7 linked regions of the Ovis aries genome follow. The protein of the gene in region 3 binds, or shares a complex with, the protein of the main gene of each other region. Links are inferred from orthologs where the notes say so. Each region holds a gene or a part of one and is shown on either strand. Other genes may lie near its edges. The genes, in order: ERCC3, TAF1B, POLR2L, GTF2F2, POLR1C, POLR1H and GTF2F1.

Evidence for each region.
Region 1: POLR2L (region 3) and ERCC3 share a complex: the UniProt entries of both Homo sapiens proteins name them as parts of the TBP-based Pol II pre-initiation complex. The link is inferred for Ovis aries from reciprocal best matches to the Homo sapiens genes POLR2L and ERCC3.
Region 2: POLR2L (region 3) and TAF1B share a complex: the UniProt entries of both Homo sapiens proteins name them as parts of the pol I pre-initiation complex. The link is inferred for Ovis aries from reciprocal best matches to the Homo sapiens genes POLR2L and TAF1B.
Region 4: POLR2L (region 3) and GTF2F2 share a complex: the UniProt entries of both Homo sapiens proteins name them as parts of the TBP-based Pol II pre-initiation complex. The link is inferred for Ovis aries from reciprocal best matches to the Homo sapiens genes POLR2L and GTF2F2.
Region 5: POLR2L (region 3) and POLR1C share a complex: the UniProt entries of both Homo sapiens proteins name them as parts of the pol I pre-initiation complex. The link is inferred for Ovis aries from reciprocal best matches to the Homo sapiens genes POLR2L and POLR1C.
Region 6: POLR2L (region 3) and POLR1H share a complex: the UniProt entries of both Homo sapiens proteins name them as parts of the pol I pre-initiation complex. The link is inferred for Ovis aries from reciprocal best matches to the Homo sapiens genes POLR2L and POLR1H.
Region 7: POLR2L (region 3) and GTF2F1 share a complex: the UniProt entries of both Homo sapiens proteins name them as parts of the TBP-based Pol II pre-initiation complex. The link is inferred for Ovis aries from reciprocal best matches to the Homo sapiens genes POLR2L and GTF2F1.

Annotation. Positions count from the first base shown.
Region 1 is NC_056055.1:118,229,820-118,233,319, forward strand, and holds part of ERCC3 (general transcription and DNA repair factor IIH helicase subunit XPB), read left to right. Parts: intron 1-1,346; coding exon 1,347-1,396; intron 1,397-1,816; coding exon 1,817-1,952; intron 1,953-2,132; coding exon 2,133-2,297; intron 2,298-2,710; coding exon 2,711-2,915; intron 2,916-3,500. UniProt on the Homo sapiens protein: ATP-dependent 3'-5' DNA helicase/translocase. Binds dsDNA rather than ssDNA, unzipping it in a translocase rather than classical helicase activity. Component of the general transcription and DNA repair factor IIH (TFIIH) core complex.
Region 2 is NC_056056.1:19,100,624-19,104,123, forward strand, and holds part of TAF1B (TATA box-binding protein-associated factor RNA polymerase I subunit B), read left to right. Parts: intron 1-1,205; coding exon 1,206-1,303; intron 1,304-3,014; coding exon 3,015-3,110; intron 3,111-3,500. UniProt on the Homo sapiens protein: Component of RNA polymerase I core factor complex that acts as a GTF2B/TFIIB-like factor and plays a key role in multiple steps during transcription initiation such as pre-initiation complex (PIC) assembly and postpolymerase recruitment events in polymerase I (Pol I) transcription.
Region 3 is NC_056074.1:46,915,104-46,918,587, forward strand, and holds POLR2L (DNA-directed RNA polymerases I, II, and III subunit RPABC5), read left to right. Parts: upstream 1-1,214; 5' UTR 1,215-1,248; coding exon 1,249-1,343; intron 1,344-2,726; coding exon 2,727-2,835; 3' UTR 2,836-2,984; downstream 2,985-3,484. UniProt on the Homo sapiens protein: DNA-dependent RNA polymerase catalyzes the transcription of DNA into RNA using the four ribonucleoside triphosphates as substrates.
Region 4 is NC_056063.1:15,657,311-15,661,272, forward strand, and holds the start of GTF2F2 (general transcription factor IIF subunit 2), read left to right. Parts: upstream 1-1,162; 5' UTR 1,163-1,295; coding exon 1,296-1,361; intron 1,362-3,962. UniProt on the Homo sapiens protein: TFIIF is a general transcription initiation factor that binds to RNA polymerase II and helps to recruit it to the initiation complex in collaboration with TFIIB.
Region 5 is NC_056073.1:17,058,027-17,062,287, forward strand, and holds the start of POLR1C (DNA-directed RNA polymerases I and III subunit RPAC1), read left to right. Parts: upstream 1-1,461; 5' UTR 1,462-1,482; coding exon 1,483-1,551; intron 1,552-1,670; coding exon 1,671-1,742; intron 1,743-4,261. Other genes in the region: protein YIPF3, read right to left, coding at 4-110, 293-490, 1,092-1,172. UniProt on the Homo sapiens protein: DNA-dependent RNA polymerase catalyzes the transcription of DNA into RNA using the four ribonucleoside triphosphates as substrates.
Region 6 is NC_056073.1:27,951,223-27,955,232, reverse strand, and holds the start of POLR1H (DNA-directed RNA polymerase I subunit RPA12), read left to right. Parts: upstream 1-1,210; 5' UTR 1,211-1,270; intron 1,271-1,467; 5' UTR 1,468-1,486; coding exon 1,487-1,622; intron 1,623-1,860; coding exon 1,861-1,961; intron 1,962-2,382; coding exon 2,383-2,544; 3' UTR 2,545-4,010. UniProt on the Homo sapiens protein: Core component of RNA polymerase I (Pol I), a DNA-dependent RNA polymerase which synthesizes ribosomal RNA precursors using the four ribonucleoside triphosphates as substrates. Can mediate Pol I proofreading of the nascent RNA transcript.
Region 7 is NC_056058.1:15,923,959-15,927,920, forward strand, and holds the start of GTF2F1 (general transcription factor IIF subunit 1), read left to right. Parts: upstream 1-1,162; 5' UTR 1,163-1,574; coding exon 1,575-1,586; intron 1,587-1,670; coding exon 1,671-1,717; intron 1,718-2,201; coding exon 2,202-2,274; intron 2,275-3,472; coding exon 3,473-3,666; intron 3,667-3,962. UniProt on the Homo sapiens protein: TFIIF is a general transcription initiation factor that binds to RNA polymerase II and helps to recruit it to the initiation complex in collaboration with TFIIB. It promotes transcription elongation.

The sequences.
Region 1 (3,500 bases), on a different chromosome or scaffold from region 3:
GTTTTGCTCTCAAAAAGTAGAAGCTACACAGAGAGTCAGATGTGACTGAAATGGACTCAGCATGCAGACAAGGGCACCAAAAGGTGTGCAGTAAACAGTCTGTCTCCACTCACCACTTTCTGTAGTGGCTCTGTATTTTATTCTTAACTTTTCTCGACTATGTCAACTACTGGTTTAAGCTGTTTTCACTTCCCCACCCCACCCCTGCATCATGGGCATGTGGGATCTTAGTTCCCTGACCAGGACTTTAACCGTGGGCCCTCTGCAGTGAGAGCCTCCAGTTCTAACCACTGGACCACCAGGGAATTCCTGCTATTTTCAATGAAAAAAAATTATTTCTATTGGATTTATTTTACTTGAAGTAGTTTTACTGTTAGTTTGTTTTCTTCAAAATCATTTTTACACTTTTATCTTTAATTTTTGTCCTTCTGTTTCTTTCGGGTTTTTGTGGGTAGTGCTGTTTTTTAACCTGTAGCTTGAGTTAGATACTTAGTTCATTAATTTCTAGTCATCCTTATTAGTAGAAATATTTAAACATATGTATTCAGTTCAGTTCAGTTCAGTCGCTCAGTCATGTCCGACTCTTTGTGACCCCATGAATTGCAGCACGCCAGGCCTCCCTGTCCATCACCAACTCTCGGAGTTCACCCAAACTCACATCTATCGAGTCGGTGATGCCATCCAGTCATCTCATCCTCCGTCGTCCCCTTCTCCTCCTGCCCCCAATCTCTCCCAGCATCAGAGTCTTTTCCAGTGAGTCAACTATTTGCATGAGGTGGCCAAAGTACTGGAGTTTCAGCTTTAGCATCATTCCTTCCAAAGAAATCGCAGGGCTGATCTCCTTTAGAATGGACTGGTTGGATCTCCTTGCAGTCCAAGGGACTCTCGAGAGTCTTCTCCAACACCACAGTTCAAAAGCATCGATCCTTCGGCGCTCAGCTTTCTTCACAGTCCCACTCTCGCATCCATACATGACCACTGGAAAAACCATAGCCTTGACTAGATGGACCTTTGCTGGCAAAGTAATGTCTCTGCTTTTCAATATGTATGCCTATGGCTGATTCTTTTTGTTGTATGGCAAAAACCAACACAATATTGTAAAGCAGTTGTTTTTTAATTAAAAATAAGTTAAAAATAAAAACAGGTAAAGCTAAAAAAAAGTGGAAGCTAATAGAAAAAGCTCTATTTAGACAGATCTACCCCTTTAGGATTGCACATTGGATGTTCCTAAAGTAAAATGAACCCTTCACTTAGTTGAAAGGTAGTAAAATGCGTCCGGTAATGACTTGTTCTGAGTGAGCTGCATGTGGCTGATTTTACCTGTCTGGTGTTGTCCCTCCCTGCAGTTGTGTACTGTCAGCTATGGGAAAGTCAAGCTGGTCCTGAAGCACAACAGGTAAGGGACTCTGTGACAGGCCCACCAAGGCGTTTCCACCCTCTGCCTGTCAGTGGCAGGAAGCTAACGTTTGTGGGCTGTGCTCTGCACTAACAACTGCTCCCCAGAGTAAGGGGCTAAAGGGAATGAGGGAAGCTGTGTGGCCAGAACTGTTCACTCCCTGACCACTGTATTCCCCTGGCAGTGGAGCTGGGGCTCCGATCCCTGCTAATGTGTCTTCAAAGTGGGGCTTTGCCCGCAGCCCTTCTGTGCGCTCTCATGACCAGTAGCTCATCACTCAGCTTCGGCAAAGGGATGGGGCAGGGTGACTGTGCAGAGGGGCCAGAGGCCGCCGTCCCCAGACCATCCGAAGAATGCTAAGTGGACCCTTCCGCAAATCCTGTCCCGGCCAGCAGGCTTCTGCTTCCTCCCCTTTTACAGGTACTTCGTTGAAAGCTCTCATCCTGACGTCATCCAGCATCTTCTCCAGGATGCCGTGATCCGGGAGTGCCGCCTGAGGAACTCTGAGGGGGAGGCCACCGAGCTCATCACCGAGACTTTCACAAGCAAATCTGCTGTATGTGGGCTCCTGGGTCACCCTCAGGGGTTGGACACATTCAGGATTGTAGCCCTCAGGTGCTTTTAGTCCAGCATTTATAGCCTAGTAGTCCTGCCGCTTTCTTGCAGCTTTGACTGTGCTTGGTAGCAGTAGGGTTAAATGTTCTGTGCAAGTCCACATCCTGCCTTTCTCTTCCAGATTGCTAAGAGCGCTGAAGGTAGCGGTGGGCCCTCCACTTCCCGAGTGACAGATCCACAGGGTAAATCTGACATCCCCACAGACCTGTTTGATTTTTATGAGCAAATGGACAAGGATGAGGAGGAGGAAGAAGAGACACAGACAGTATCTTTTGAAGTCAAGCAGGTTAGTGAACATAACTCCTGGTTGCTTCTCTAAGCTGATATCAGAAGCTGGTCTGGCCCTGCCTGGACTGTCCATACTTTGTGTGAGAAGAAGGAACCCCTATCTGTCTCCAGTGTGCTGTTTCATCATTCTTCCTGATGGAGTTGTATCTGAGTGCCCATTCTTCCTGCTGGTGGATCAGTGAGAAATGGTGTCTCTGGGGTGTTTTGGTAGCTGATTGGATTTAATTTTGTTCATTGCCTTAGTTTGGGGTCCTTTTCTATGCTTTAAACCCAGTTGTTATCAAGCAAGATCTGAAATTGCAAAAGTCTAGGTAAACTTGATTTTTATTGTTAGGTGTCTTAGGATATGTGTTGCTTCTGAGCACGCTTTGGAGTTAACAAGATTATGAAACCTTCATGCTCACTTTCCAGGAAATGATTGAAGAACTCCAGAAACGTTGCATCCACCTGGAGTACCCTCTGTTGGCAGAATACGACTTTCGGAATGATTCTGTCAACCCTGATATCAACATTGACCTGAAGCCCACAGCTGTCCTTAGACCTTACCAGGAGAAGAGTTTGCGGAAGATGTTTGGGAATGGGCGCGCGCGCTCCGGGGTCATTGTCCTTCCTTGTGGTGAGTGACTGAGTGAAGGAGATGGGTGGGCTGCTGTCTCTGCATCTGTCCTGAGTCATGTCGGGCCTAGCCTAGGTTCTTGGCCGGAAATCGTAGTACACTCAGCTGGAGCCTTGCCCCAGACTCTAGAAGGTGAACTGTCTCAGGAAGGGGCCTGCACCTTCTTTCTTTTTAAGCTGCATGGGTTACTTTGAAGCACATCCCTGGTTAAGGAAGAATTGCTTTTTAAAGGAACAGCTTGATTTTTAATCTTGATCTTCATTAATGGTGGACGGTGGTAAACTCAGAAGCCCCTGGAGTTTCACCTTCCTGTGTCTTTGCCAGTAGCACTGTTCACACGACCATGTTGCTGAGTGCTCAGCCCAGTTTATGTGTGACCATAGTAGCCATCTTTTACTCAGTCCCTCCGAAGGGAGTCCATGTGTTGGGTACAGTATACCCTAGCAGCACTGCTGTCCCAGGGTCTCGGGCCAGTTACACCTTAGATTTAGTTTTCCCATCTTTAAAACAGCAATAGTAGAAGTGTCTCTTACTCATTGTTTGTTTTGACAGATGTTGCTTTTTACGATTTAAACAAGGTGCATA
Region 2 (3,500 bases), on a different chromosome or scaffold from region 3:
CTGGAGCTTCAGCTTTAGCATCATTCCTTCCAAAGAAATCCCAGGGTTGATCTCCTTCAGAATGGACTGGTTGTATCTCCTTGCAGTCCAAGGGACTCTCAAGAGTCTTCTCTAACACCACAGTTCAAAAGCATCAATTCTTCGGCGCTCAGCCTTCTTCACAGTCCAACTCTCACATCCATACATGACCACTGGAAAAACCATAGCCTTGACTAGCCGGACCTTAGTCGGCAAAGTAATGTCTCTGCTTTTGAATATGCTATCTAGGTTGGTCATAACTTTTCTTCCAAGGAGTAAGCATCTTTTAATTTCATGGCTGCAGTCTCCTATGCAAACTAAAACCCTTTTCAGAAAGTGAGTTAGGCAGCAGAGGTGGGGAGACCTTGTGATACTGAGGTTAGGGAGGGGCACAGGAACCCTGTGACTTTCTGTGGGGAAGAGGGCATCTTGGAGTCATAGCAGCAGACTTCAGAAGCTTATTTTTTCAGAGTTGCAGTATTTGTCAACCTGGGAGGGGTAAAACATGAGTCTTAACAGATTTGAGCATTTTCTTTTAACTGGTAGTTTTATTTAAACATGTAGCTTTGTCCATTCCTTCAGAATCTCTTAAGACTGTTTTGAGGTTGCAAGAAAATAACCTTAAAATACATGGTGACTGGACCGAGTTCAATAAATCTTAGTTTCCTTGCTTTCGGTTTCACACTCGTACCTGGAACCTTCCTGATGAAAAGAGAAAGCTGGTGAGCAGTTCATTTTCTTTGTGTGTTCTTGTTGTATGCCCTTTCCTGCCATCTTGGAGCTTCCCTTCTTTGCTTTGGTTCATTCTCCAAATACTCATTGTTCCCTTTCTGTTTGAGGTGGAACAGAGGAGTCGGAGGAGAAACAGTGGCTGAGTGTTGAGTATCCTTTCATTTAGGCTTCTGCTGGGCACTGTTCAGTACATTTATAAAACTTGTTTTCTTTTTTTAATGTGGTGACTAACCATTTTGCTGCCCTTATATTGATATTTCAGAAAAATTAAATTTACTTTAGCATTTGTGTACAGATTTGCCAGATTGGAAGCGAGAATATAAGAATGGAAACTCTACTCAGGGATATGAAAAAATTCCAGTTGAAGTGTGTGAAACACAATTGTAACTGTGCAGTAGCATTACATTTAGTAAATAAGAAACTCAGATGTCTGAAGTCTGTCATTTGTCATTTAGAGAAAGGCTGGGATTGGTATGTGTGTGAAGGTTTTCAGCACATACTTTATCAACAAGCAGAAGCCTTACAGAGCCTTGGAGTAGGCCCAGAGTTAAAGGTAAGTCCATTTGAGTTCAGATGTTAGCCTTTCATTTTGTTGTTTGAAGAACAGTAGACTTAGAGTGGAATTAAGAGTAGTAGGGTTATCAGTAATAGCACTTGGCCTATTAGAAACAATCATTTTTCTGATGATTTTTCTTTAATCCTTTTGCAAGACCAGCAATCTCCAAAATGTGTTTTCTAGGGTGTAAATAAGCAGTACATCCAAAAGAAAGTAAGAAAGGTTTTAGTCTTCAGATAATTAGGAAACATTAGGTTAAAGTAAAACAAATAACTTTGTCCACTTATTGGTGCCTTTTATGTGTTAATGTGCTGTTTCATTTCCTAGGGGATGCAATGTGCAGTATTCACAATTTGAGGGTAAAATCCTCTGGTGTATGTGAGTGGGTGGGATGGGGGGAGTAGCATCCATCAGGACTTCCAGAAAATGCACTTTGTGCAGTGGTACATTAAATCAGTGGTTTTCAAACTTGAGTGTGTATCAGAATCAACTTGGACGGCTTGTTAAAACACAGATTGCTTGACCCCATTCCAGAGTTTCTGATAAGCAGGTCCGGAGTAGGGCCCAAGAATCTGCGTTTCTAATAAGTTTCCAGGTAACACTGATGCTGCTGGAGTCAGCTTAGTTGGAGAGAAGTTTCCATGTGTATGTGGAATGAGTGAATAGGACATTATATAGCACTATGCTCATAAATGAAAACAAGAGCAAAAAGTGAAGGAAGAAAGATCATCTACTGAAGTCACCAAGAAAAGATTGGTAAAGCAGCCTTTCCTATTCAAAGCAATGAATGTCTGCAGCAGGCAGGCAGAGTCACTCGTAGGCCAGTGCATAGCCCAAGTGGTGAGCCTTAACCTTGACAGTCATTGCTTAGGTTAAGATTGCTGGTAGCCTGCAGGTTTGTGAATCTGGTTTCTCCTGACATAGGTATCCGATGTATGAGAGTTTTTAATAAATGGTTTCAGGTAGTTCCACCAAATAGCTTCAGTAGGGTTTACACCTGTATAGCTTTCTGCTGATACCTACTTCAGCGAGATTATCCTAAAAACAGTTTCTCTAAAATAAACTGATAAGTATGACTGTTTAGACCTGACCAGCTAAATGCTGCAGGAATGGTTTTATGATAACCCAGTCTCCAGAGTCAGAGCTGACTCTAGATCCTATTTATGGGTCATTTTGGCCATGTTACTCAGTGTCTTCAGTGGTAAAATATGAGCTAATAACTGTTTTGCAGGATTGTGTTAAAGCTTATGGATGCCTTGTGCCCAGTAGGTGATGAATAAATGGAAAAGCTGCTTTGTTTTGTTTTATTTTCACTTGGACAGAGGGTGGGAGGAGGAAGGGGGTGTCAGTAGGTCACTAAATGCAGTAGCAACTTTGCTCCTAACTAGAAGTGTAGTCACATGTAAGTGACTTTCTTTCTCTGGATCTTAATTTATTTAACTTGTAAAAAGAAGGGATTCAACTAGGTGATTTTAAGGAACTTTTTCCTTCCTTGCCTAAAATCTAAGATTAGGAAGACTATATTCAGTGCTTCTCATATACCTGATACTGAAATGATAATTCTTTCAAGGAAATTAAGTAAGAAAGGTAAGAATACATTTAGATGGAAGCAGTATGTGAAGTACAAGAGAATAGAGGTTCTGTGGTCTGGATGTGCCAGTATATTTTCATCATAACCTGAAGCATTCTTGTTTCTCTTCCACATTAGAATGAAGTTTTGCATAATTTTTGGAAGCGCTACCTTCAGAAGAGCAAGCAGGCATATTGTAAAAACCCAGTTCATACCAGCAGAAGGAAAACTACGGTAAGTCACGTGTCTGACAAGTGGGACCAAAAGACATATCTGGTGAGAGATAGAAATGAAGATGAAGTTCAACCTTACCTGAATTATGGTTTTCAGAAGAGTTCCATTGAAGAGGTTTCATTTATAGTCTAGAAGGAAAGGGTCAGTGATGTAGGCATTGAAATTAATTTTGATTTCTTATTTGACCAGTTGAAACATAAAGAAAATTGTGGTTAAGTTTCTAAATAGAAGTTTAAAGGAGTTTCTACCATTGTACTATTAAAAACTGTTTCACAGATGTTACTCTTTTTGCTTGGAACACCTGCTTACTTTACCTGGCATTTCAAGATTCAGCTCAGTTGTCATCTGGATGCTTTACCACCCCACCCCCATCCATCAAAGCAGTTATAT
Region 3 (3,484 bases):
GCCCCTTGACTTACAGTCAGAGTCCACCACCCACCCCAGGTGGACTCTGAGCTAAAGCCTGGGACCCAACATGGTGGGCCCACCCCCACCCCCCACCCCAACCAGAGACCCTGACGCCCCAGGCCAGCAAATATGAGGAGACCCTGCCTAGGTGCCTAGCCCACCCTCCTCAGCCCAAAGCTCGCCTCCTCCAGGGAGCCTTCCTTGCTTCTCAGTGCACACAGCCCTCTCCCAGCCGCCAGTCACAGGATCAGGGGGCTCACCTCTCGCCACTTCCCGAGACACAGCCCCCGCCCCCGCCCCCCCCCCGCTCCCTTTAAACCCCCACCGCCTCCAGCTCCCACAGCTTCTGTCCCGCACGGACGGGTGTCTGTCCGGCTCCCTCTTTAAGTCTCAGCTCAAAAGACACCCCGAGTGCCCTCCCGACCCTCAGAGCCGGCGCTCCCGGGTCACTGGCGCCCGCCCCTGCCGAGCGCGGACTGGAGCCTGGGCCGCCAGCGCCTCCCCCGGGAAGAAGGCAGGAGGGGGGGCCAAGCTGACCGCGGCGACGGCCGGAGCCCCCACCGGCTGGGTCGCCCCGCGCCGCCCGCCTGCAGGGATACGGGCAGCTACCGGGCCGGGACCGTTACTGTGCAGGCGACCCGGCCAGGCGGCGACCTCGAGGGTCCCTCGGACTCTGCGCAGAGACCCCCGAGTGCCCGCGGGCAGCGGCCCCAGGCGGAGAGGCCGCCCCCTGCCCGGCCCCTCCGGCCGCTCTCCGCGCCCCAGACCCGGCTCGCAACTTGTTGCTGAAACGCGGCTCGCGCTCTGCGCTCGGGGCCCCAGTTCGCGCGGGCCCGGCCGCACTCCGCCCGCGGCCCGGCAGGGGCGCTGTACCTGCCTCGCGCCCGCCGCGCGGAGTCGGTCGGCCGGGCACGAGGAACGCGAACGCCGCCGCCGAGCCCTTGCGGCCCCGCGCGGACGCCGTAGGCCGGGACGTACCAAGGCGCGGGCGGGGGGCTCCCGCCGGGCCCCGCCCCCGGCCCCGGCCCCCGGGCCCCGGCCCCCGGGCCCGCGCCCGCCGGAGGAGCCGCCGTCGCGGCGGGAGGCGGATGCCGGCGGCGCCGGGGCCGCGGGGAGGTGCACGGGGCGGGCCGGGCCGGCACCCCCGCGCCATGGGCGCGCCATGGGCACGCCGGGGCGGAAGCGCCGGGGGATCCGGGCGTCGGGCCGCCGGGCCGCGAAGCTTCTAGCTCCCGCGCCGCCGCCATGATCATCCCCGTTCGCTGCTTCACGTGTGGCAAGATCGTCGGCAACAAGTGGGAGGCCTACCTGGGCCTGCTGCAGGCCGAGTACACCGAGGGGTGAGGGGCGCGCTCCCGGCCGCCGGCCTGCGGGGCCCGGGGCGGGGAGGGTTTCCCAGCCTGCGCGGCCCGGGGCGAGGACAGGGGCGCCCGGCCTAAGGGGAGGGTTTCCCAGCCTGCGGGGCCCGGGGCGGCGGGACGGGGGCCCGGCCTGCGGGGCCCGGGGCGAGGACAGGGGCGCCCGGCCTAAGGGGAGGGTTTCCCAGCCTGCGGGGCTCGGAGCGAGGACACGGGGGCCCCGGCCTGCGGGGCCCGGGGCAGGGTCAAGGGGGCCTAGCCTGCGGCGTCGGCGTCTCGGGCGGCTGTCGAGGATCCAGGCTTGAGGGGTTGGGGTCTTGAGGCGGCAGTCAGGGGTCTTGGTCTCCAGGTCAGGAGCAAGGGACGTTCATCAGATCCCAGGTGACGCCGGCAAGGCTTTTATTCCCGGAGCCTTTGCCAGCCCTGTTCTCCAGACCTGCTCTCAGGAAAGCGTCTCCCACCCCCCAGTTCAGGCAGACGAGGGGAGCTAGTTGTCAAGCGCTGGTGTCTGGGGACTCGAGTATTCTGGCTCCACGCCTCCACCGCAGATAGGCCCCTGGCCACCTCTGTCCGTCAGCTCCCTAAGTTCTCCCTGCTATTAGGCCCACCCCGTGTCCTCAAAGACACTGATGCTGGGCAAGATGGAAGGCGAAAGGAGAAAGGAGCGGCAGAGGAGGACGCGGTTAGGTAGCATCAGCAGCTCAATGGACAGGAGTTCAAGCAAACTCTGGGAGATAGAGGAGAACATGAGCTCAGCGAGCTGCAGTCCATGGCGTCACGGACACGACCGAGCGGCTGAACAACAAACCGTGTCTTGCAGACTCACGGGCTTTTTTAGTACATAGGACAAGCTTCTGATCACATAGCCGTCATCATCAGGCTTTTGTGGGGTCCCTTTTCCGTGTTTGCCCCTTGGCACTGCAGTTACCGCCTTACTTGTCTGAGTTTACCCTAGACAAGAGTCTGACTTTGGTCCTTGTGTGGACAGCCCCATCCTTATCAAAGTGTGAACCTCTGGGACCTGGAGTGTGGTAGCAGGTGAGGTTCTCCGTGTAGCTGTGTTGGGTGGATAGGGAAGCAACGGACGGCCGTAGTATCTGCACCAGGCTTCGAGGAGGCTGCTGGAATGACCACAGTGCGAGTGAATGCTGGCAGCCTGCCCCAGACTCCTCCCCGAGATGCCCCAGGCCAGGGCTGCCCAAGCGGCCGCCCCTTTTATGGGTGCCACGCTGGTGCCCACACACAGGAGGCTTTGAGGGTGACTGGGGCCGTGTCTCTGGGAGGTGAGGGGGGCTGCTCCCCCCGGGCGAGGCCCTCTGTCTGCCGGGAGGAGCAGGCTGCAGCCAGATCTCTCCCCACCTGCAGGGACGCCCTGGACGCGCTGGGCCTGAAGCGCTACTGCTGCCGCCGCATGCTGCTTGCCCACGTGGACCTGATCGAGAAGCTGCTCAACTACGCTCCCCTGGAGAAGTGAGCCCGCGATGCCGCAGGGGGCGTCTCACCCATGGCTTGTTCCCCTGGGGTGTGGGGCGCCGGAAGCCACGCCCGCCCACGGCTCTGTTGGCGTGGGTCTTCCTCCCTGGAAAGAACTGTCTAGTAAATGTTTCTGAGGACTGCCAGGAAGTCCTAACAGTTGGTCTGGGTTTGTGGGCTGCCCCGCCGGTTCCTGGGGTTCTACCTGGTGCCCGAGGCCCGCACGGCCCAGGAGGAGGGTGGGCCTTCCATACGGGAGTGCTCAGCACGGGGCTCCCTTCCTCTGTGGGCGCTTGGCCCCACAGAAGACACAGATGTCACGAGTGCTTGGGGTGGGGGCACCGGCGTCCCACAGCGCTGTTCTGGGTGCCCTTCAGCCGAGAACAGAGGTCCCCACTTCCTCCCCCGGTATCTAATGCTCCAGACTTTCTGCGCTCTGAGTGGAGTGCTCCCTGTGGTCACAGCTGCGCATCCTGAGGTTGCTGCCGCCAGAAGCTTCCAGGCTCCACCCACAGCAGGCAGGCAGCTCCACTCCACCCCTGAGACCCCACAGCAGGTGGGAGGTGCCCTGAGGCAGCTCTCCTGGGCATCTGTTCTGAATGGGCTCTCAGTGCCCAGGCGTTAAATGCGTTGCCCTGAAAACCAACTAG
Region 4 (3,962 bases), on a different chromosome or scaffold from region 3:
CGGGAAGAAAAAATTATCTTCCTCTGGGGGAGTTGATAGAAGGTCTCATAGGAAGAGACATTTCCATTAATCTTGAAACCTAAGTAGGTGTCTGCCAATCAGAAGGCAGTACGGGAAGAATAGGGCATCTGAGTAAAGGGAATCCAGTGTGCAGAGGCTCTGAATAATTGAGGAACATTCTGATACGTTCCGGGAGGTCTGACGGGTTAGATGGGCTTAGATGCGTGGTGCATTGAGTACACCACACTTTGATGAGGTCAAACTGTGAGGGCCTATGTGGAGAGGACTGAATTTTATTCTAGAGGCAAGAAGAGAGAGGGGAGACTCTTTAAGCAGGGGAGTTGAACAATCAGAGTTTTCTGTTACATGTCTATTGTCATTGACGTCATGAAACGGCTCCAAACTTGCGGACACAGCCGGGAAAGGAGAGGGCGCGACAGACTGCCAGCGTACCACTGACATGTATACACCACCATGTGTAAAAAGCGATTAATAGCTCGTGGGTAGTTGCTGTAGCGCACAGGGAGCTCAGGTCGGGGTTCTCTGACAACCTAGAGGGGTGGGATAGAGGTGGGGTTGGAGGGGGGCTCAAGACGGAGGGGACTTATGTACACTTACAGCTGATTCATGTTGTCGTAGAGCAGAAACTAACATAACATTGTAAAGCGCTTATACTCCAATTAAAAATAAATTAAAAACAATAGCAAACAAAAAACAAAGGGCTCTGGGTTTTGGAGTCTTAAAGGGGTGCGCCCTACTCGTTTAACTGAAGGTGCTCAGGGTAGCCTTTCAATAAAGACCACTCTGCTAATTCATTTTATTCATTTCTCCTACCTGTCCTCCAAATGCTGTCTTTCTCTCCTTGGCCTGGATTGGACATACACTGACAGCCTTTGTCTCTTTAAACCCCGTTTTTCTGTTTTGACACTTTCTTCTGTTACTCTGACCTGGTCTTTATATGTACTGCTGATGTTTGCGCCCATCCCAACCTCGTTTTCAATTACTCAGACACAGTCCCTGGAAGTAGCCACGCCCACTCAAGAAGGTGCACGCCGATGAAGTTTGTCCTCAGTAGCGCGCCGTACTGACGGCCGCAGTGCGCAGGCGCAGTTCCCCGCTGCCGGCCGTGTGTGTTCTTCTTTCCCAGGGCTCCCGGCATCCCGGAAGTTGGACCGCGGGCTCTTCACAGTCAACCTCCGGCCAGGGTTCGCCGTGTGCTTCGCTCCCTCGTCCCGCAGTCACCCGCTCCCGGGGCCGCTGCTCTAAGTCCGCAGGTCTCCGCCGGCGACAGACCCATGGCCGAGCGCGGAGAACTCGACCTGACTGGCGCCAAACAGAACACCGGAGTGTGGCTGGTCAAGGTAAGGTTTGCGTGGCTCTCGCTTTTAAAGTAGTTTAAGTGACTTGAGGGGAGAAGGAACTGGCAACCCACTCCAGTACTCTTGCCTGGGAAATTCCATGGACGGAGGAGCCTGGTGGGCTACAGTCCATGGGGTCTCAAAGGGTCGGATACGACTGAGCGACTTCACTTTCTTTCTATAGTTCCTTTGGGAGAAGGAAGTGGCAACCCACTGCGGTGTTCTTGCCTGGAGAACCCCATGGACAGAGGGGCCTGGTGGGCTGCAGTCTATGGGGTTATAAAGAGTCGGACACGACTGAGCAACTAACATACACGCGCGCGCACACACACGCACACACACACACGTAACTTGAGACCGTCCCACTTTGTGCACCTTTTAAAACTCATTAGGGCTCTCTCGTTTAGAACTTCGCTTACCTTGAGAGGCAGGGTTGGTTGGTAGGCTTGTTTGCAGACGAGGACATTAGTTCAGGGACACCCAGTGTGTTTTAGCCAACTAAGAGTCTGAACGTGCCTGGAATGGATCTCCTTATCCCACGACCTGGTTTTTCTGGGCTCCTGTCTTGATGGCCCCCCAGTTTGAGCATTTTATCCCAGGCTGAAGAATTTCTTCATCTCCACTTGCTGAAACTGATTTCAGTCATCAATCTCTATAAGAAAGTTGAGCGTTTGCTTTCTGGGTAGTTTTCTGAGCCAGAAAGTAGAACTGTTCTCTGAGTACCCTGGTGGCTCAGATGGTAAAGCATCTGCCTGCAATTCAGGAGACCCAGGTTCGATCCCTGGGTGGGGAAGATCCCCTGGAGAAGGGAATGGCAGCCCACTTCAGTATCCTTGCCTGGAAAATCCCTTTTGAAGGAGCCTGATAAGTTACAGTCCATGGGGTCCCAAAGAGTTGGACAGGACTAAGTGACTTCACTTTCACTCGTAAGGTGTTCTTTTAGGTTGATGGGTCTTATGGAGTTCCCAGGAGAGGTGAGAGTGCTCTGAACTCAGGGAAGGAGAGACTGTGGACTGGAGTGTTCTTTTAGAGTTCGATTGTGTCTCAGGTGAAACTGTCAGTAATTTTTTTTTTTTTTGGTAAAGGCAGCATTTTGATTAACCCTTAGTAAGTACTTACTGAGCTTCCCTTGTGGCTCAGCTGGTAAGGAATCCACTTGCAATGTGGGAGACCTAGGTTCGATCCCTGGGTTGGGAAGATCCCCTGGAGGAGGGAAAGGCTACCCACTCCGGTATTCTGGCCTAGAGAATTCCATGGACTGTATAGTCCATGGGGTCGCAAAGAGTCAGACACTGAGCAACCTTCACTTCTTCACTTAGTGAGTACACTATTTATCCCTTACTTTTTCAAATTGGGGACTGTTGTTTCTTAGGAAGTTTTCATAAGACATGTGTATATTCAAAATGTGATTATGATAGTCTTGAAAACTCAAGTAAAACATAGAGACCTTTATTTGTTAGATTTTTGGAAAGCTTTTATCACACGTCTGAGTGTTTATCAGTTAAATCTGAGAGGCCCTTCTAGTCTTCCTCTCTGATGTAGCTCCCTTATGATTCAGTTCGGTCGCTCAGTTGTGTCTGACTCTGCGACCCCATGAACTGCAGCACACCAGGCTTCTTTGTCCATCACCGATTCCCGGAGCTTACTCAAACTCATGTTCATTGAGTCGGTGATGCCATCCAACCATCTCATCTTCTGTAGTCCCCTGCTCCTGCCCTTATGATTATTCACTAGCATGTTGAGCCTGTATTAACATTCTTCAAAGCACATGCACAGTCATATTTCGCGAGAGTAGGCGTCTTGCCTGTCACCCAGAACTGTGTTTGGTGTAAGGTAAATAGCTCAGATAATGTGATGTATGCATGCATGAATGAATGACTGAATGAACTCTTATTCTTCAACCCTAGCCTTAATCTCTGGTGCTGCTTTGACTTATCACAGTGATATCAGTGTGATTTAAAATGATGGAGTAACCAAGTATCTCTCTCCTCCTGCATGCTAGATGGAGAGAGATCATTAGGGAGGAGATCTCCTTTGCAGATGGAAAGAGCTTGAAAAGGTGGCGAGAGCTTGAGGTGATGTGTTTCTGCTTGGAGCGCAGTAGATGCTCAATAAATGTTTGCCTTACAGAGGTTTGGATGGGGGGCCATAGTATCTCCGTAGCATACCATGGAGAGTGGTTCTGAAATGCAGGAGTGAGAATGCACAGTAATGTGGTGTGGGCTGGAAAACAAAGAGGACATCATGCCTGGAGTAGCGGATTGGGACCGTATACTGACATCATCACGTTGTGAAGTGGGAATGTTTTAACACTGCTGCTGCTGCTGCTAAGTCACTTCAGTCATGTCCGACTCTTCGTGACCCCATAGACGGCAGCCCACCAGGCTCCCCCGTCCCAGGGATTCTCCAGACAAGAACACTGGAGTGGGTTGCCATTTCCTTCTCTAATGCATGAAAGTGAAAAGTGAAAGTGAAGTCGCTCAGTCATGTCCGACTGTTTGAGACCCCATGGACTGCAGCCCACCAGGCTCCCCCGTCCATGGGATTTTTCAGGCAAGAGTACTGGAGTGGGGTGCCATTGCCTTCTCCAGTTTTAACTCTAGT
Region 5 (4,261 bases), on a different chromosome or scaffold from region 3:
CACCTGCTTCGCACCTGGGCTGGCTCCACATCAAAGTAGGGTCTCAGGATGTCGATGTTGGCATACAAGCTGAAGGCTCTGGAGGCTTGTCTCTTCCCTGCCTGCCACATCTATAGCAAGGAAGATGGGTGGGGTGAAAGGGTGCTGTCAAACTCTTGGCTCTATGTTACTTATTTTTTATCTGATTTCAAAATGGTGTGAACTGGACAACCTGGGGTGGACTTCACCAACTCCAGAACCAGAGGTCTCCTCGGTATACTTTTCCACCTGTCAGGGAGCCAACTGTGCTTACCTGATCAGCCACCTGCCGGCTCAGCTGTCCCTTAAAGCCCTTCATCCCCAGGAACTCCCCATCCTCTTCTTCAGCAGCAGCTGCATCAGCATCCACTTCTTCCTCACGCAGGCGCTGATGCAGCTCACCCATGTCCTCGAAGCTGGAGCCTGAGGTATCATCCATGTTCTCCATGTCAATCACTGCTGAGCCCCCACCCTGTGAAGACAACAGACCCTAGAGTGCAGGACCTTTCTGCTTCGTCCAGTTGAGTCCTTCTCCGTTCACCACAAGGTTTGGGGCTAGGGGACTTGAAATCGCCACAGATGACGCCACTCTCTTCTCCTCATTTGGTCTCAGAACCCCTGCTTGTTTGGTGCTCTGTTCTAGTCTGGGGAACCTAGTCCCTGTCTTCCATACACGGCTTTTTCCTACCTTCCCTACCAAGGCCCCAAAGGGCTGCAAAGTGCCCATTTCCTTCATCTCTCCCAACCCCAAAACAAGGCTATGCGCACCAAGTGTGGTTTTGGCTAGTGAATCCCATCCACCCCCAAGCCCACTCCCGCCATGCCTGTCTCCGACTGACTTTCCTAAACTTGTGGAAAGCAAGAGCAATTGGGCCCAGATACCTAAGGCCCCTGGCTGGAGTACCAGTCTGGAGCTTTAAGACCAGCACTAGCCCCACTGCCTTTCTTGTGCACGAAGACTCAAAAGAAGATAAAAAGTGTTGCAAATGGACCAGACTTCCAGGCTCTGAGGGAGAGTTCAGGGCGGCTGCCGGCCCAGGGGCTGCGGGCAGCCGGAGCCGTGGGGCCATTACCTGGATGTTTTCTTCGAACCCTCCCCATTCCGGGCCGGTCCCGTTTCGGGCGCCGCCAGCCGGCGCCGCCGGAGTTGCCATGTCCCTCGAGGGCTCCCGTCGCTGAAGCCCGTGCTTGTCCCGCGCGCGGAGGAGGAGTGGGAGAGATGCGGGCCTGAGAAAGGGACAGGTCTAGGGACAAGAAAGAAAGGTACTATGGGTCGGAATGCAAAAAAAGGAGAAACCCGGATGTTTGGCTCAAACCAACTTCCGGTAGCTGGGGACGTGGACGGAGGCAAGGCACAGTCTCGCGATATTTAAGATTCTAGGAGGTGCGTTGCTACAGAAACGGAGGCGGACGACTAGTGCGCACGCATCAGTTAGGTACTCTGGTCACGTGGAGGAGTTGAAGATGGCGGCGGCCCAGGCTGTGGAGGAAATGAGGACCCGCGTGGTTCTAGGGGAGTTTGGGGTTCGCAATGTAAGTCTTGTGGCCTTCAGCTCGGGAGCAGAGTGAATCAGGGATGAGTTGGCGTCAGAGTGGGGACGGGCTTGGCCTCGCTGCCCCTTCGCAGACATTCTCGTCTCTCTTTGCTCTAGGTTCATACCACTGACTTTCCCGGTAACTATTGCGGCTACGATGATGCCTGGGACCAGGACCGCTTTGAGAAGGTAGGTGGAGCTGGAACTGTGGGATCGGACTTTGTGATATGAGCAACCTGTGCCTTAGAAGCTGTCCTTGTAATTTCCAAGGCGCAGCAGAAAAGGGCAGCTTGCAGCAAGGGGCAGAGGGCGGTAGCTGGAAGCGGGGTTGTAGCTTCCCCCACCGGTAGTCCTAACTACGACCACAGGAGCCAGCAGTTAGGGCTAGAGTCCCTAGTCCTTGTCTGCCTAGTCAAGAACGAATTCAGGCGAGGAGGCAGAAGGTACAGAGTAAAGTACGAAGTTGATTGAAAAGAGAAGTACATGTAGAAAGGCACACGGGCAGGACCCTCCCATGGGATGCACACTCACCTCTTAGCCAAGATGGATCTGGAAGTGAAGGCTTCTGGGAAGAGCAAGACTCGTTATGGCCTGAATTATCCTCTGACTTTTGACCCCAAGTAGCCTTTCTGCACTTGTGATGTATCTTCCTTATCCTAAAAAGGGGGAAGCGGAGATCCCTTAATCCTTACTCAGACGAGGGATTTCGCCTTGCTTTGTTCTTGCTATAATTATTTCTTCAAGATATTTACTAGAGACAAAGACTGTTGACTCTGTTTCTGTTCTCTCTTCGTTTCTGGAGGGCAAACAGGAGGCTGATAGGAAATTCCTCAGCTGGAGCCCGTCTGTCTCCTGCCATACTTGTGATGTGGGACATGCTAAAGTAAAGGTCCAGGTTCTTATTCTACCTGTCCAAAGTGCAAAAAAATGTCACACAGAGAAACTGAGGTGTAGAGAGAACAAAGAAGCAATTTATTAAGGAGAAGGGAAAGCAGGCACTCACAGAAGAATACGAGTGTCCACACGAGTGAGGAGACCACCTGAGGGTCTTTCTAGCCCCACTCCATTATTTTAATTCCTTGAATGGGTGCAGGTTTCTTTGTTGTTGTTCTTCAGTTGCTCAGTTGGGTCTGACTTTGTGACCCCAGGGAATGCAGCACGACAAGCTTCCCTGTCGTTCAGTATCTCCTGGAGTTTGCTCAAACTCATGTCCATTGAGTCAGTGATACCATCCAACCATCTCATCCTCTGTCACCCACTTCTCCTCTTGCCCTCAATCTTTCCCAGCATCACTCGTTTGCAGTGAGTCAGCTCTTGGCATTGCGTGGCCAAAGTATTGGAGCTTCAGCTTCAGCCTCAGTCCTTCAATGAATGTTCAGGGTTTATTTCTTCTAGGATTGACTGGTTTGATCATTTGATCTTCCTTGTTGTCTAAGGAACTCTCAAGAGTCTTCTCCAGCACCACAATTCGAAGGCATCAATTCTTTGGCACTCAGCTTTCTCTCACATCCATGCACGGCTACTGGAAAAACCATAGCTGTGACTATATGGACCTTTGTCAGCAAAGTGATGTCTCTGCTTTTTAATGTGCTGTCTAGCTTTGTCATAGCTTTTCTTCCAAGGAGCAAGTGTCTTTCAAGGCTGCAGTCACCGTCTGCAGTAACTTTGGAGCCCAAGAAAATGAAGTCTGTCACTGTTACCATTTTTTCCCCGTTTGTCTGTCATGAAATGATGGTTCAGATGCCATGATCTTAGTTTTTTGAATGTTGAGTTTTAAGCCAGCTTTTTCACTCTTCTCTTTCACTTTCATCAAGAGGCTGTTTAGTTCCTCTTCGGTTTCTGCCGTTAGGATCGTGTCACCTACGTATCTGAGGTTATTGATATTTCTCCCAGCAATCTTGACTGCAGCTTGTGCTTCATCTAGTACTCTGCATATAAGTTAAATAAGCAGGGTGACAATACACAGCCTTGACGTCCTCCTTCCCCAATTTTGAACCAGTCCATTGTTCCATCTCCAGTTCTGACTGTTGCTTCTGGATCTGCATACAGGTTTTTCAGGAGGCAGGCAATGTGGTCTGGTATTCTCATCTCTTTAATTTTCCACAGTTGTGATCCACACAGTCAAAGGCTTTAGCTTACTCATTGAAGCAGAAGTAAATGTTTTTCTGGACTTCTCTTGCTTTTTCTATGATCCAGAGGATGTTGGCAATTTGGCCTCTAGTTCCTCTGCCTTTTCTAAATCCAGCTTGAACATCTGGAAGTTCTTGGTTCACATACCATTGAAGCCTAGCTTGGGGAATTTTGAGCATAATTTTGCTGGCATGTGAAACGACTGCAGTTGTGCAGTAGTTTGGACATTGTTTGGCATTGCCTTTCTTTGGGATTGGAATGAAAACTGACCTTTTCCAGTCTTGTGGTCACTGCTTAGTTTTTCCAAATTTGCTGGCATATTGAGTGCTGTACTTTAACAGCATCATCTTTTAGGCTTTTAAATAGTTCAACTGGAATTCCATCACCTCCACTAGCCTTGCTCATAGTAATGCTTCTTAAGGCCCACTTGACTTATTTGATTAGGGACGGTCTATTTATTATTGGGAGGATGGGTGGTTATAACAGCTTCTCTTGTGCATCTGTCTCCTAAAGCCACCACACTAAGAGCTTTCCCCCCTTTAATTTTCCCTTGGAGTGAAACACCAGGTTGTATAGAA
Region 6 (4,010 bases), on a different chromosome or scaffold from region 3:
GTAGGTTCCAGATGAATTAAAACAGCAAAACTTTTAAGACACTTGTCCTCATGTTTTATAAAAGATCAGGGATATGTCAACTCTCCATCTAATGGATGCAATGATGATGTAGAGCTGGTTGGATGGGAGGCCGGGGACAAGGTGGAAAGGGGTCTGCAACTGAAAGCAAACCTCGACAGTCTTCGTCACAAGGCTGCTCCCTTGACTAATGCTAACCTCCCTCATCTGACGGGCATCTAAAGAGGAAGGAGTCCCAATCTCTTCTGTTCCACTACCTCCAAAGTCTTGAGCCCCTTCCTAAAGTGTCCTACTTCATCCCTGCTTCCTTTCGTTCCTAGTGACTAGGATTCCTCCTCCGCCTTCACCGTTTCCACTTCATGCCCGGTAAGAGGTCGACTCACCCCTTCCAAAGGCCCAGTTTAGTTCAGTCGCGTCCGACTCTTTGCGACCCCATGTACTGCAGCATGCCAGGCCTCCCTGTCCATCACCAACTCCCGGAGCTTGCTCAAACTCACGTCCATCGAGTGGGTGATGCCATCTAACCATCTCATCCTCTGTCCTCCCCTTCACCTCCTGCCTTCAATCTTTCCCAGCATCAGGGTCTTTTCAAATAAGTCAGTTCTTCGCATCAGATGGCCAGAGTATTGGAGTTTCAGCTTCAGCATCAGTCCTTCCAGTGAATATCCAGGACTGATTTCCTTTAGGCTTGACTGCTTTGATGTCCTTGCTGTCCAAGGAACTCTCAAGAGTCTTCTCCAATACCACGGTTCAAAAGCATCAATTCTTCGTCGCCAAGGGCCCAGCACTCGAGCCAGGCGGTGCTCTGCAGAGCGCCCTTGCTTGCATCGCGAGGTCCGAGGAGCGCTAGAACTGTAACTTCCAGAATGTTTCGCTTTGGTTTTTGTTTTTTTTAAAAGAACCAACTCAAAAAGAAAAAAAATAAAAATAAAAAAAAAAAAAGAACCAACTCAGGAACAGGGGAAGTTGTAGTTCCCAGAACTGGGTAGTGAGGGGAAAACAACCGGAGGCTCAGCTTCAATCACCTGCTTTCTTATCCAACATCACAAATCCAGCCTGAAAGTAGCGCTACAACCTTCCTTCAAAGGTTCCGCTCCCTCCGGGGATCAAGTTTGCGATTAATTATGACGTAACAGCCAATCGACAGGCCGGACGACAGGGCGCTCTAGCCCGCTTGCTCTCGCTAGTCCGCAGCGGCGTAGAGCCGGCGTTCTAGCTCGCGGAGTTGGCTTCCTCTTCTCGCCTGTCCCAGGTAAGCAAACCCCCAAGTCGAAGTACCGGACCCCGGTTTGGAATTCTGGATATGTGGGCTCCTTGGTCTTAGAGGCACAGGCATACGTGGGAGAAGGACTCGGGTTCTGTATGCTTAGGTCCAGGGACAGAATAGGAATGACCCTTCAGTGGGGAGGGAGCTACTCTCGTTTGTTAGCAATCTCCTCTTCTTCCCAGTCCTCGACCACCCTCCGTCATGGACCTCGCCGGCATCTGCTCCAGCTTTCAGTCGGACCTGGATTTCTGTCCAGATTGCGGCTCGGTCCTGCCTCTGCCCGGGGCTCAGGATGCGGTCGCCTGTACCCGCTGTGGCTTCTCCATCAATGTGCGAGGTAAGGGGCTTGTACGCAGCGACCCCGGCAGAGGGCCCAGCGTGAAAGGGTCAGTGGCTTGAGGACCTTAATATCGGTTGGATTGAAGAGGGGGACCCTGAAGCAGGAAATCAGGCACTTTTGGCCTTGGGTCGAAACCTGAAGGGAAGAATATAAGGCCTCCTGTCCTAACCGAGAGGGAGTTATGGGTGTCAGCACTCCTTACTGTCTCCACAACCAGTTCTTACTGTTTGCGCAGACTTTGAGGGGAAGGTTGTGAAAACCTCAGTTGTGTTTAACAAACTGGGGACAGCCATGCCTTTGTCGATGGAGGAAGGACCTGAGTTCCAGGGACCTGTGGTGAGTGAATGACATCCAGGACTGGCCCCATCAAAGGAGGGTGGGAAAGAAATGGAGGGGCGATTGCACAGATCTGGAGAGTTTTGTACCTAATTCCAAGAGGGAAGGGTGTGTGCTGTGCTGAGTCGTGTCTGACTCTTTGTGACCCCGTGGACTGTAGCCTGCCAGGCTCCTCTGTCCATGGAATTTTCCAGGTAAGAATACTGGAGCGGATTGCCATTTCCTCCTCCACGGGATCTTCCCGAGCCAGGGATGGAACCCGCGTCTCCAGCATTGGCAGGCGGATTCTTTACCACTGTGCCACGTGGGAAGTCCTTTAAGAGGGAAGAGGGGTCTTTAAAACATCAGAGTCTGGGGAGTGTGACAGCCTGATGTCTGTGACCGGAAAGGGAGATTATTAATCCCACCAGTTGCTTTCCAGGTTGACAGGCGCTGCTCTCGATGTGGGCACGAGGGAATGGCATACCACACCAGGCAGATGCGATCAGCCGATGAAGGGCAGACTGTCTTCTACACCTGTACCAACTGCAAGTGCGTATCCTTTTCCTCCTCTCTGCCCTTTCTCAATCTGTTTGCGACCTAAACAAATCCAGTGACTTACTTTTTGTACTGAATAAACAGTTGTGTTCTTTGGTCCGATCCCTCTCTTCTGTACAGTTGAAGTAATAGGGAAACTTGAGGTCGTTTTTTATTTTAGAAAATTACACTTTTCTTATCCTTTTTATACTCGGTGAATTAAACCTTTTAAGATATTTAAAAGGAAAGAAAAAAAATACAGAAAGCTAATGTTGCTTGATGATCTGGGTGTTACTGTTGCATCTTCCACTGTACTCAAGGTAGTTTTACTTCGATGAGAATTAGTCATGGGTGCTTTAAAGAACATGATTCTCTGAATAGTTTTGAGAACTCCCCTTTGTCTTTGGGGTTCTGTGGTTTCACTACAGTGTATCTGGATGTGGCTTTCTTTTGTTTATCATGTGTAGGATTTGCTGGGCTTTCTGAAAGTAAAGATTGATTTTTTTTTCTTTTCCGTCAACCTTGGAAAATTATCTGCCATGTCTCATTGAATATTGCCTTTACCTATGTTCTCACATTCTGGAGTTCTAATTAGTTGCTTATTAGACTTTACCCACTACTCCATTTCTCTCACCCTTTCATAATTTTCCATCTATTTTCTCTTTATATTGCTTCTGGGTAAATTCTTCTGGTCTTTCTTCCGCTTCACTAATTCTGTCTTCAGTTTATGTCAGTTATTGTTACTTAAAAAAATTTTTTTTTTTGAGTTCTGCTTATTTTTCAAGTCTCATTTTTAATAATTCATGATTCTTTAATCCTATATTATTTGTAATTCTTACATATATTTAAATATATTAAGCCTGATATTTATATTGTGTCTCCTAATTCTCATACCCACAGTTTTTGTGGATCTGATGCTGCCGTTATTCCTGCAGACTTTCTCATCGTGCTTTTTTTGTTGTATAATTTTTTAATATAAGCTCAGATTTTTTAGAATTTGGAAAACTATATTCTTAGCATGTGTGTTTCCTCTTCAGGTGCCTTGAAGCACTACCAAGCTGGAATGACTTTAAATAAATTCTCAGCTTCATGTGTTTTGTAGCAAATAGGTAGTATGGATTTGTGCTGCGAATCTAATGTAAGGCCAGCTTTTGGTTAGAAATTCTAGAGGGAAATTTTTTTCTCTCTCTACCTAGTGAGACTGTCAAATTCCTCTTCTGCAGAGTTGGATTATTTTTCTTGTTCACTTCTATACAGGTGTAGCCCTTTGGAGGTTTCAAACTTACTCTGAGTATCTCCTCTCAGACATTGTAGGCTTGTCTCTGGTTCACTCATGTGGCTCTCAAAACAGCAAGGGCACCAGTGTACCAGGGGCTTCAGTTTTAATGTACCTGTCTAGATTCCTGGTTTTGTATACTTTCACTCACTGTGAAGATTGCCTTTACTTTCTTGCCTTCTCATCAATGGATTAAAAATATAGTTAGAAATGCCTTTGGGGAGTATTTCTCAGTCAGGCTGAGAAATTGTTTAATT
Region 7 (3,962 bases), on a different chromosome or scaffold from region 3:
GACCCCCACCCCTGCTGGAAGTCCATACTGCAGTCCCTTCAGGTTGCAGCTCACCCTTCAGCTAATCTCTGTCTAAAGAGCCTCCCACCCCATTGTTCCCAGTCTCAAAACCCTAATTCCCCACCACCCCACAAAAAGAATTCCATTTCCTCCAGTAATGGTCACTATCAGTAATGAGTCTGCCCGTTTACTTGTTCTTGTTTGTCTCCCCAGTCAGACTATGTACTACAAGAACACAGAATCTGTTTGTCTTCCTTGTCCCTGTATTTCTAGTACTTGGCATAGTTTCTGACATAATCGTAGCAAGTGAGGAGTAGATAAATGTCCATAACTATCAGAAACATCTATGGAGACCTGTAGTTTATAGTGCTGGCTTCCTACATTCCCCACGGACTTCCCAGAATCCAGCGCAGCAGGTGCTAAAAGTGAAAGTCAGTCAGTCAGTCAGTCAGGCGTGTCCGACTCTTTGTGACCCATGGAATTCTCCAGGCCAGAATACTGGAGTGGGTAGCCTTTCACTTCTCCAGGGGACCTTTCCAACCCAAGGATCAAACCCAGGTCTCCCGCATTGCAGGTGGATTCCTTACCAGCTGAGCCACAAGGGAAGCCCAGCAGGTGCTAACATGGATCACTGAATACCTGACCCTGAGCATGCGAAGTTGTGTTACAATAAGGTAGGGGGCCGGGAGGAAGGGCGTGTGCACACCTGGACTTGAGGAGGGGTTACCTGCATTCTCCCGCCCTCCATAACCTCCTTCCCTTCTCCCGAGTAAACCAGCCACCCCCGCGATGTTTCCCTTCTTCTGGGGCCTCAGGGGCCTGCCTATTTGGGGCAGTTTGGACTTGCACAAACCCAACCCGCCTGAGGCCCGTGGGGTGAGCGCACTCCATCCCCTACACAGGCCCTGACCTCTCCTAGTTCGGTTCAACGTCACAAGGGCCCCTGGCCCGATTATTTGGCGAGATGATAGGGCTACCCCCGGGGGCTGTGGGGAGAAATGAACCCCAAAGAGGCTCAGGTAGAGCCGCAGCAGTCGGCTGCCAAGGAGGCCTCGGTTGCTGTGGTAACGCGACCTCCCCGGACTCACTTCCGCAGTAAAGTAGCGCATGCGCAAATGGCCCGACAGGCCGCGAGGGTGGCGGGTTTCCTCCCTTCCTTCCCAAGATACCCCGCGGTCCTGAGATGTAATGTCACTGGGGGCGTCTTCACGTCACCTGTTTGGGTTATCCGCGTGATGAGGTTATCGGCCTGATGGGATTATCGTGCTATACAAACTGCGGGCCGCCAGAGCGCTAGATACAGAAGGCGCTACCTTCAGTTGGGAGTAGGTTGCTTCCCCTAGGCCTGCGGGAGGATTTCGATTCCGGTTTAGGCGGCTGCGCAGGCGCAGACTTGGCACAGGCGGTCTCAAGCCAATCGCCGACCCAGTGCCGCCTCCGGATAGCTTTCCCCAGGATCGGTTGTATCCCGGGCCGGAGACCGGACACCTCGAGGGCGGCCTCCGAGGGACGCGCACCCGGAGGGAGGCGTAAAGAAAGGTTCTGATCAGACCCGGGTCAATCGCCCATCGCCCATGGCGGCCCTCGTAAGTGTGCGGCCAGGCGGTTCGGCTGCGGTCCCGGTGGCCTCTGTAGCCTCTCACTCACTGTCCTGCTTTCTCTCCCCTCAGGGCCCCAGCAGCCAGAATGTCACTGAGTATGTCGTCCGAGTTCCCAAGTAAGTCCCTGACCCTACCAACCCCCTTTCCCTCCAGAAAAGGATTAAAATCTCGAGGTTCCAGGAGTGTCTGATTCTTCTTCCAGGGCTGGGGTTGAGCCGAGGCCTCTGGGGCATCACTGTTTTTTTAACAGAGTGAATGAATAAGTACATTAATATACAGTAACACGCAGCCTGCCTGCCTAGGATTCCCTCAGCCAGGAATGGCAACAGTGACTCTACTGGGTGGATTCTTTTTGATCCTGCGAAATTCCGTTACAGTATTTTCCTCCTTCAGGAGGCAGTCCCTGCCTGTCCACCCCGCTGCCCAGGGCTGAGTTCCCAATTATCCCATCTTGAGTTCCCAGAAATATTTGTCCTTAACTGATCTCTGGGGTTTTTTTCATGGGTCCCCAGCGTTGCCCAGCACAAAGAACTGAGCCTGGGAGGGTTTGCTGAATTAATGAATGATTAACTGAGCACTGCCTCTTTTTGCCCATACCAGAAATACCACCAAAAAATACAATATCATGGCTTTCAATGCAGCCGATAAAGTCAACCTCACTACTTGGAATCAGGTAAGTCCGAGTTCTGAGGCTGTGAGAAAACCTGACCCTGGATTTGATGTAATAGTTGCTTGGTTGTGATAGTAACTAAGGCTTAGGATCCTCCCCTCTCCCCACGTGCAGATAAATGATAACTAAGGCCCAGGCTGAGCCTCTGGGCACCCCTGAGGACAAGATATGTGTGGCCTTGCAGGAGGCTTTCTTCTGAAATTTGTGCCCACTGATGGGCATTCTGGGTCGAGATCTATCTGGGCAAGAGAGGAGGGGGCTGCCTCCTAGAGGTGACTCAGAGCCCCTATTGTTGGAGACTCCAGAGCGGTCTTTAGAAACTGTTTTAGTTGCAGGCTGCTCTAGCAGAATTCCAGAGACTGGGTGGTTTGTAAACAACAGACATTTATTTCCCACAGTTCTGGAGGCTGGAAGTCCAAGATCAGGGCGCCAGCAGATCTGGTGTCCTGGTTCATAGCTGGTGCCTTTGCACTGTACTCTCACCTGGGTACACAGCACTCTGGAATCCTTTGTTAAAGAGGGCACTTATCTCACTCCTAATAGGCTGCAGCCTCACAACCTAATCATCATCTATCAGAGGCCCCGCCCCCAAATACCATCACACCGGAAATTAGGTTATATGCATTTGGGGAGAATTCCCTGTAGATACAGCGGTTAGGACTCCAGCTAGGACTCTAGCCCATTCACTGCTGGGGGCCTAGGTTCCATCCCTGGTGGGGGAACTAAGATTCCAGAAGTCCGAGATCACAGCCAAAAAGAATGCATTTTGGAGGCATGCAAACATTCATCCATAGCAGAGGCTATTAAAGGGTTACAAACAGTCTGTAAAGAGATTTGTCCACTGTGGGGTCGAGGGCAAGTGAAGGGAGAACAGGGCGGAGGTGAAGGCTCTGGACCAGGTGAGCCTGTGATGGGGTTTGCAGCAAACAGGTTACGAGAAGTTATTGGACTCTGGGGTGTCTTTTTTTCTTTTTTTCTTTTTTAATTTTTCATTTGGAAATAACTTCAAACTTTCAAAAAGCTGCAAAAACAGACATCGCAGCGGGCTTTAGACAGATCCCTTCGCCCACATTCACAGAGCCTCTTTTCGCCAAGCGGGAAGTTGGCTCAGAGGGTCCACCGCTCAGCCTGCGGGGAGGAAGGGGTGTTGTTGGATGGGGAGCAGGCTGCCTGATGAGAAGTCTCGCCTTCCGTCTCCCAGGCCCGGCTGGAACGAGACCTGAGCAACAAGAAGATTTACCAAGAGGAGGAGATGCCGGAGTCGGGCGCCGGCAGCGAGTTCAACCGCAAGCTCCGGGAGGAGGCGCGGAGGAAGAAGTACGGCATTGTCCTCAAGGAGTTCCGGCCGGAGGACCAGCCCTGGCTGCTGCGGGTCAACGGTAAATCAGGCCGAAAGTAAGTGCCCCTTCCCGCCACTCCCCGGTACCCTTGGCCGAACTTCTAGGTCCTGCAGCTGGGGGTGACAGCTCATCCACCCATGAAGGGGTTTTCTTGGGGAAGATGAGCCAAGGGGTTGCTCGAGTGTGTGCTAGGGATGCAGGAATCCCGGCCTGCCGTCCTCCTGCGCCCAGCCAAGGACTGCCCAGAGCTGAGGGTTGAGAACCATGGGGGAGACAGAGATTAAGGGAAATGAAGGGCACTCTGGTTGAACAGCGAGCACGAAGGCGTGAAACATCGAGCCCCAGGGACTG